Linked DNA regions of Drosophila melanogaster. The protein of the gene in region 1 binds, or shares a complex with, the protein of each later gene. Each region holds a gene or a part of one and is shown on either strand. Other genes may lie near its edges.

Evidence for each region. Proteins that work in one complex are often made in the same cells at the same time.
Region 2: CSN4 (region 1) and CSN7 share a complex: the UniProt entries of both Drosophila melanogaster proteins name them as parts of the CSN complex.

Annotation. Positions count from the first base shown.
Region 1 is NT_033778.4:7,970,372-7,974,634, forward strand, and holds CSN4 (COP9 signalosome subunit 4), read left to right. Parts: upstream 1-1,803; 5' UTR 1,804-1,879; intron 1,880-1,966; 5' UTR 1,967-2,050; intron 2,051-2,126; 5' UTR 2,127-2,244; coding exon 2,245-2,817; intron 2,818-2,876; coding exon 2,877-3,527; 3' UTR 3,528-3,728; downstream 3,729-4,263. Other genes in the region: CG8726 (uncharacterized protein), read right to left, coding at 1-103, 161-342, 403-811, 873-1,158, 1,266-1,367; ACC (Acetyl-CoA carboxylase), read right to left, coding at 4,116-4,250. UniProt on the Drosophila melanogaster protein: Component of the COP9 signalosome complex (CSN), a complex involved in various cellular and developmental processes.
Region 2 is NT_033778.4:8,419,126-8,424,093, reverse strand, and holds the start of CSN7 (COP9 signalosome subunit 7), read right to left. Parts: upstream 3,062-4,968; 5' UTR 2,984-3,061; coding exon 2,798-2,983; intron 2,738-2,797; coding exon 2,485-2,737; intron 1-2,484. UniProt on the Drosophila melanogaster protein: Component of the COP9 signalosome complex (CSN), a complex involved in various cellular and developmental processes.

The DNA of each region.
Region 1 (4,263 bases):
AAAAATGGCCGGTAAAACGCTGGAACGCCCAGCAAAAAGTTCTCGATGTCCAGTAGCTTAACACAATCGTCGACTATCACTATGTTTCCGGAATGTAGATGACCTTAAAATGTTTTCATTTATTAAATAAAAAGTAGCTTTCAATAGGGATTCATCTTACCATATGCGTATCCCTTCGAGTGCAAAAATATTAGGGCCTCTAGAATCTGCTTCCCATATGTAGCCACTTGTTTCATTGAAAGCGCAGTGCGCCCCTTGGGATTGCCGTACTTGCTAAGAAATGTATTCTTTGGATTCGCGGCCATGCACAAAACATCCTTTAAAGTACCATGCTTGTGGAATCTAAGTGGATATATATATTAAGTTATATAATGTATAAGTTAGACAACGTGAGCTACTGACTTTCTTATGACCAGGCAACCGTTTTCGGTGTGGGCTGCCAGGAGAACGGGCTCGATGTGCGGATGCTGCAGGCCCATCAGGCTTTTCATTATGCCCCCGATTTCTTTTTCGTCGATAAACTTGTCGGGTCCGTACTCCAGCCACTCAGCCACCACCTCTGACCCGGGATCCAAGGTTCCGGCGTCGATGGAGTGACCGCTGCCATTGCTGCTCCCAGCGGCGAAATGTTTGCTCTGATGGGTCTGTGAACCGCTCTTAACCAGTTGCTTGTTGCTGCTCTTCTCCGGCGGCTTTGTAGTGACCTTAAAGTAGTGCTTCCGGAGGCGCCAGCCTATGGCACCCATACTTCCACCCAGCGACCACGTAGTGTCGTTGCGCAGGCAGAGCATAGCATTCTGCACGGCATGGTCTGAAGATAATTGGAGGACATCGATTAGGGGACCTTCTTCTTCACTAGCAAATTAACTCACCGTGAAAGGACTGCGAGTAACTCTCGGGATCCACAAAGCGCTTGGCTGGCAGCGAGGATGCCAATATGGGATTCATTAGTACGGCGTTTATGTACTCTTGCAGGGCTTGCTTCCGTTCAGCTATGAACTCCGGGCGCATGTTACCAAAGATGCGTTTGCGAGGCAGCGGCAGCTCGATGCCGGAGACGCGGAGAGACTTGTCCAGTCGGTCGAAGTCATTATAGCGGCGCAAAACGGTCCAGTAGTTCTTGTTGCTGGCGCCCCTCCACACGCGCAGCAGGTACTCCTGCAAGCAGACACACACACAGTCACATTCGCCGCCTGCATGAAATCATCAACAATTATTGATTTTTCGCTGGGGTCAGCAGCTCTGCCCCCTCGCGATCTAGCTACCGTATGTCCGGCGACCTCCTGGACGGCGGTTATCTCGCAGCTCAGCGCCTGGGTGTCGTCAATTGGCAATTTCCGTTCATATCTGCTCGCAAAAACGGCCATTGGACTCCTTTGGATACATTTTCCACTTCACTCGGCGAGCTGCGCTGCTGCTGAAAGTGTATGTATGTGTGGGCCTGGCCTCCACCCTTTTCCACAAGGATCCGAATGGATTGGTCTTTGCACTGAATATCTCGAGTTTCTAGTAATTCTCTAGCTACTACCACTTGCAGATTGTCTTTGACCTCTTTGTTTAATGCAGTTTTCGCAGTCCAATTGGACTCGACACAAGTATATTTTTTCACTGTTTACTGCAGCGCACCGACTGTCATTTTTGTATCGATATTTCAAGAATGCAGTCACCGATAGACTGCAGCTTGGATTGAAGCGCCAATTTTAAATAATTTATTGGGAAAGTATGTACAAGTGTAAGCATTAAGTGAATTTTAAACCTTACCGAATCATTATAGGCCTTCCTTTAAAAATCGAATGCTGAAAGGAAATACTGCCAATATTTTATTGGCATATTTTATTCCATAAATATTTTATTGGAAGATAATACGAGTAGAACAAATGTAAGCCTTGGTAAGAGTCTTGCGCTTTGCAGATAGTATTTTAAATATGTTATATTATGTTATGTAATATTTAAATTTTATCCTCAGATATACATTTTTTTATGTCAACATTTTCATGTGGTTTGGTCTTTACTCAAAACCTATCTATGGAAAGAAGTCATAGATAGATAGGTAATAATAAATAAAATATAAATTGCGAACTAAATTTGTAAGCTGAGTATCACCATCGAACATTTTCCAACACCAGCTAGATAAAAGCTAGGCGTCCTGCACTGTCCCGGCCGGATTTGCGAGCTATCGATAACAGGGATGAGCTTGCGTTGTTGTTTTTAGCTAGTGCGAAGTAATTGGGTATAGAAGTGAATATGGCCGCAAACTACGGCATCTCGACGGCAGCTCTGCGTAGCCAGCTGATGGGCCTGATCAACTTCACTGGCACGCACAAGGACCAGGCGGACAAGTACCGCCAGCTGCTGAAGACTGTGCTGACGAACACCGGCCAAGAGCTGATCGATGGGCTCCGGCTCTTTGTGGAGGCCATTGTAAACGAGCACGTCAGCCTGGTGATCTCGCGGCAGATCCTTAACGACGTGGGCAGCGAGCTGAGCAAGTTGCCTGACGATCTGTCCAAGATGCTTTCTCACTTCACCCTGGAAAAGGTCAATCCGCGCGTCATCTCGTTCGAAGAGCAAGTGGCTGGCATACGTTTCCACCTGGCCAACATCTATGAGCGCAACCAGCAGTGGCGCGATGCGGCCACAGTGCTAGTTGGCATTCCTCTGGAGACGGGTCAGAAACAGTACTCCGTGGAGTGCAAGTTGGGCACCTACTTAAAGATCGCTCGACTCTATCTGGAGGACAACGATTCGGTGCAGGCGGAGCTGTTCATCAACCGGGCATCATTGCTGCAGGCCGAAACTAATTCCGAGGAGTTGCAGGTAAATGGCTTCCTAGCGCTATTTTAGATGGGTAATCTGTTAAAAATCGCACCTTTTAGGTTCTATATAAAGTCTGTTATGCTCGTGTCCTGGATTACAGGCGCAAGTTTATCGAGGCCGCCCAGCGATATAACGAGCTCTCCTACCGCAAGATCGTGGACCAAGGCGAGAGGATGACGGCACTGAAGAAAGCGCTCATCTGCACAGTCCTCGCCTCTGCCGGACAGCAGCGTTCCCGCATGCTGGCCACTCTGTTCAAGGATGAACGCTGTCAGCACTTGCCGGCCTATGGAATTTTGGAAAAGATGTACTTGGAGCGCATCATTCGGCGCTCCGAGCTACAGGAGTTCGAGGCCCTGCTGCAGGACCACCAAAAGGCTGCCACCTCCGATGGATCCTCGATCTTGGATCGGGCTGTTTTCGAGCACAATCTGTTGTCGGCTAGTAAGCTGTACAACAACATAACTTTTGAGGAGCTAGGCGCTCTGCTGGACATACCCGCGGTGAAAGCAGAGAAGATTGCCTCTCAGATGATTACCGAAGGTCGCATGAACGGACACATCGACCAGATCTCGGCCATTGTGCACTTCGAGAATCGGGAACTACTGCCTCAGTGGGATAGGCAGATCCAGTCGCTATGCTATCAGGTTAATTCCATTATAGAGAAGATAAGTGTCGCCGAGCCCGATTGGATGGATAACCTGAACTGAAGCAGGCTCTCGCCATCCCATCTCCCCCCACTCATCTTAATTAAAAAACGGCATATAGGAACGCAGTGAATCGGAGGATATAACCCCCGACTGCGATAGATTTCATTTTAAAATTATAAAAATAAATGAAATTATGTACATTATCGATCCTGTGGAACCAAAAGAAAAGAAAAACAGAACAAGACGAAAAACCCCTTTTGCAATCCAGCGAGTTTTGTTAATGTAGTGTACCATACATTTATTTTTTCAGTAACTCGTATTATTCAAAAGGCTCTGTGTACAAAGGACTTTAGTTCTTATACAACTAATGGAATGATTTGTATTCAGGGGATATACATAATCAAATATGTACACGATACAACTAGTTTATCGGGCCACTTAGGCAACAAATTAACCCATGCCTACAACTCCAATACATAACTAGATTTACGCTAATTACTTTTAAACAAATTTAACTAAACAAAATGCACATCATGCACGCCTTGCGATATCTTACAAGCGCAAAGCGGGACTGAGAAATGTGGTGAAGGGCGGGAACGGGAAGGATGAAATAGAGGGCCTAAAAAGAACTTAGAACATAGCGTAGAATCATCCCTGGTTGCTGTTAGAGGTCTCCTCATTCAGCTGCATCTGGGCTAATGTGCGTACGACCACGCCTCGATTCACTGGCGTCAGACCTTGGCAAAGACCCACAACAGCGTCCAGCGCTACGTCGGGACAGTCCTGAAAAGATATA
Region 2 (4,968 bases), 450 kb from region 1:
AGCGAGGGTGCAATCCTCGGTGAACTCGGTGGCATTCCGAACCACCACTCTCGCCTCGACATGAGTGCACAAACTGTTTTGCTTATATTCGTGCGATTCCCAGCATACAGCTACTGGTGCCGGGATGTTATTGCATAAAAAGTAGTTCGAAGCAGTTGGGAAAATATTTGAAAATGCCTGGGAGATTGAAAACCACAGAGGCTGTTCTGGTGGGGAATGCTCGACTTATCGATTTTAGGAGCAGATGCCAAAGACTCTCGCTTACAATACATTTTTGAGGGCGGTTATCCGCACTCTTACTCTTATTTTTACAACTTAATTAACATTCGTAGAACTGCTATGAAAGAAAGAGCAAAGAACTAAAATACAAGTTAAAGCACATGATGTTGTCTAAATATCCTCAGAGGTAACAAAACTTAACTTGAGGGAATACTTATTATTATTACTTATTATTATTATATCTGAAATAAATTTAGGTACTATTAATGTAAACCAAACACTGAGCAAAGCCGAAACAATCAAGAGCTGTCCCACTAATGGAACGAGCCGAAATGAATTTCTGGCGAATTTGAATTCTAGAAGGCATTTAATTACCATATCCCCAACCCAGCGTCCTGGTAGACAAATGATGCTCTAATGGGATGACCTGGAATCGCGACGAGAGAACCACTCAACCTGCCCGCCGGCTAATGGAGGCCCCGCTCCGTTGCCAACTACATTAAATTGCGATGTCAGATTACGGCGCCTAATAGAACGCAATGATTTCGCATTCCGCCAGACATCTGGCACTTGGCCTCCTGCCACCCGCAATGATGCTCTAATGATGGCTATCATAACATAAATCTTCGCTGGGGCGGGGGAATTTATTTGTCTGTTCATTGCCTGGATTTGGAAAGCAATTAGGAAGGGCAGGTGAGACGATGTTGCGAGGAGCAGATGGCGTTGAGTTGTCACTTTATTTGCTTACATAATGGACGTCCAAGAGTCCATTAAAAACTTCTGCACGCTATTTGCTTATCCAGCGCTAATGTTCTGGTACGTATGTTTAGATTGTTTCATACGTCGAGTGGGCACTTGTCGGGAGCCGCTGAAAACCGAACAGGACTAACCAAAAATCCGCCTGAAAGGCTCGTTTTCCAGCCCCATATAGCACAGCCTCTGTTTGTTTTCATTCCGGTCCATAGATCACAGGCCAAAGCTCAAAAATCAACAGCACCAACAAGTTTAGCACCACATTCGAGGGCCCTAAGTATGCTTACACGGACGATGTTTCCGAGTGCGATATTTGGGCCCCGGCTTCTGGGTGTTGCGTTTGATTTAAGGCTTTCAGCAGACATACAATGCAGACTGGGTCCTCGGTCCGGAACTACAAGTGCAAATTGTGTAAATATGCAGCTGTGCCGGCGCACAGTGATGGATTTCAAGTTTCTATGCAACAGTGGGCAAATTATGCACATCATCTACCAACAATCGTCTCCTATATGCGAGTCATAGCAACAGCTAATTGCCTGTTAGTTTCAAATGCACAATTTAGGCTACAAGTCTCTATTAGGATTCTAAGAATTGTATGCACTGATTGTAATCGTATCAAATTACTCCTATTTAGGTACATACAAAACTACTAATGGTCAGCATCTTGACAAAAGATTTTCCCACAGTTGGAAATATTTACGATTTGTGATTCCTCACCTTACGCTTGGAGCAAACTTTTTATGTGGCAATTACGTAGCGAAGTTTGATTGTAGGCGGCCACCACTGAGGCGTGAGCTCAAAAAGGAAATCATCGAGGCAAAAGTGTTCATCCAGCTGACGACGTCGGCAACAGTAAAAACTGTTTCCCCGCGGGGATGAGTTGGGCAGAATCAACTGGTGGGGCGCCATAACGAGTGGCTTAATGAATCTTGCCGAGCATAATCCTCGTTTCTTCGCCCAATTGTTTTCGTTTGCCAGGATGCGCCAGCTGTCCCGGCTAATCAAGTGCACTGCCCAAAGGCGGTGGCCGGGGTGTGGTGGTCTGGAATGGGAGGCGCTAGACGGCAGCACAACTTTATGAATCTACTGCTTTCACAGCTGCTGGGCCGCCGGCGCAGGTGTACAGCTGCTGAAAAATGCTAATTGAACGAGGAGGCGCCCTTTCCATGGTGAGAAGTAGTCAAAAATTAGCATTTGATTTAATAATGCAAGCTGAGGAGCGAGGCAGGGTCGAGATTTGTCAGCTTGGCACTGAATTGGCTGGACTTTCAGCTGAAAAATGAATACGTTTTTAACCCAAAAGGAAAAGGAGGAAAGCTTTTTTTGTTGAATGCCCTAGTAACCGTGAAATCGATTTCATGCGAAAAGGGACTTTTTTTTTTGACTTTTGAGAGGTGGAAACAACTGTTTTATATGAGTTTTGCGCAAATAAAAGTAATGCAACATTGTATAGACTACATCGGGGCTGTAAAGTTGAAACCTAGTTGAATCTATCCACCTAGGCGAACTCACCCGCGTAGATGGCCTCTATGATGATATCCTCCAAGTGGCGGACGTTGTCGATCTCCAGTTCGCTGAGCAGCAGGGCATAGGGAATGCTCTTTGCTTTAATGGCCAGCGAGACGATAGTCAGGTGCTGCAGCTTCTTCTGCATGGCAGGAGTCAGCTCGATGAACTTTTCCGGCTGTGCACGGTATTCCTTGTATGTGCCGTATGCGAATAGGTTCAGGGTCTCGAAGTGCTTGGAGTCCGGACCGTCTTTAAGCTATGTGTGGTTTTGTGGTTGGTAAGTTACTGCCAGAATGTGTTTCATTGATGGACGCACCTGCAAAACGGATGGCTCCGCCAGTAATTCGCCAAAAACAAAGACATTCGGGGCTTCCAGGGCCTGGCGAATCACATCCAGCAAAGCGGCGCCGGTGGATGACTTGGCCAGGACACAGAACTTCTCCAGGAACGTCTCCTTGCTCTTGCTCGGCTCCTCGTTGCCCAGCAGCATGTCCTGCGTCATTTTGATAACTTCAAGTTGGATAATTTGTTTTTAAATTTTGGGATTGTTTTGATTTTTGCAAGCACAGTGCCAGTGTGACCGTTCATCGATGGCCAAATTATATCGACCGAAGTTTATCGAAGTTTCAATTCATTCTATCTTATTAGTGTAATGAGTTCTAACTATTTCTTACTACGCACATGACAGGACATACTTACGATTTAATTATTGTATATCTAGCCATAAAAACAAATTACAGTTTTTATAAAAATATTATTTGTGTTGCCCTATAATAAAATTAGTTTAAATTACAGTGCAGAGTAAATATACTAAATTTGGTACGGTAAACAGAATTAAGGTCACACTATTATGTCTCTTGCACAAGCTGACTGCCATAAAAGTGGGCGCCAAGCTTAAACAATCTGAAGTTGGTCAGGCCCTGTGTGAAAAAGTAAATTAAAAACTTAAGATTTATGCAACCTTAGCCACAGATACTAACCCGTTCATTATGCTTATGATTATTTTATGTTCTTTGGGGATACCTCCTCGTTCGCTACATTGTTTTTTTCTAATAACAGCCTAGCATTTGCACTCACCTCTTGGAAATGTTGGTCATTATGTTAAAGCAGGGCATCCCCATTTTAAAACACTTTTCGCTCCACATTCCATCCGGCGGCACACACAGACGCACCCTAGGGGGCTGTATAAAAAAAGGAGAGAAGAGGGCGGAAACGGCAGGCTGGGCCTAAAAAAATATATTCCTTGAGCTACTTTGGACTGCCAAAACTTTGCGCCAGCCACACTTGCTATTATTGCTGTGGGTAGGGGCGGATATGCGAATACGAGTATAAAAAGGCTAGGGTCAAAGTTGAAAACCCTTTATTGTGTCTGGGGGGTTGACTTCGGCATGGAAGTGGGAGTGAGCGTGATTGGGACCGCCATTCCCTGTATGAGATGCGCCAGCTCATCGATTATGAAAAGTTAACTAAAGGTCAGGGACCCACGGGGATACACACACTCACACACAGGATCTCACAGGAAAAAGGTGAGCCCGAGCCTTAAAGATACTGCGTCTGTTTTAAAATTGCCCACAGCACAGTGTTCAATTTTACAGCATATTTTCCACTTGTATCGCTTTGTTTTCCATACCTCTTGTAATGCCGACACTTCGACAGAAATTGACCGGACTGTTTTGTAATTTTTCCAATTGGATTGGCACGCCTACCGACCACTCTACCCACTCTACCCACCATCCTTCCAAATTTTATGGGATTTTGCCAAATTTGCCAGTACGCAGCCATTACAAAATTGGTTGTGATTTTGATTCTGTTGCGTGCGTTCGGCTGCAGATTCGCTTTTGGCTTCCATCCGGAGCGGCGGATGTGGTTCTTCTCCTGCGGCGACTGCTATCCGAATTGCATCCGGGATTAGTTTGCGTTTGAAACATTTTTGGAATAATGCGAAATCCCGCTGCCTTTACTTCGTTCGCAATTTTGCGGGTTGCGTGCGCAAAGTTGCGCCCATCGAGGATATTCGCTCGCCAACCGACGAAAGCCTGTGGCCATTCTTGCGATGGACCACTAGTGGTCAGCAGGTGGGGATTGGAAATTACTTAGAAGATTGGGCAGAGCGAAAAAAACGTTTTTGGTTTGCAACAGAAGAACACTAAGCTGAAATTAAATGGTAACGTTCAGGTTTCCCATGTTTCGGTATTAATCTATGAACAAATGGAAGTAACGAATACCAACTGAGAAATGGAACATATTATAAAAAAGATATAACATTTTAGGTTTTAAGTTAGTCCAGATGTTTTTGGTGGCATGACCATATACATATATGGTCTCTGGCTGGAATTTCCGCATAGGGTAAGCTATAGTAGACTTTCCGCCTTGCCGCTGATTCTCGCAGTTTTGAAAAGCTCTTTGTCACGGCGGCAAACTTTACCCGCTCTGCTCCGTGTTCTGGTTTTTTGTGGATTTCACTTTGTCATTAATTTGACGCACAAT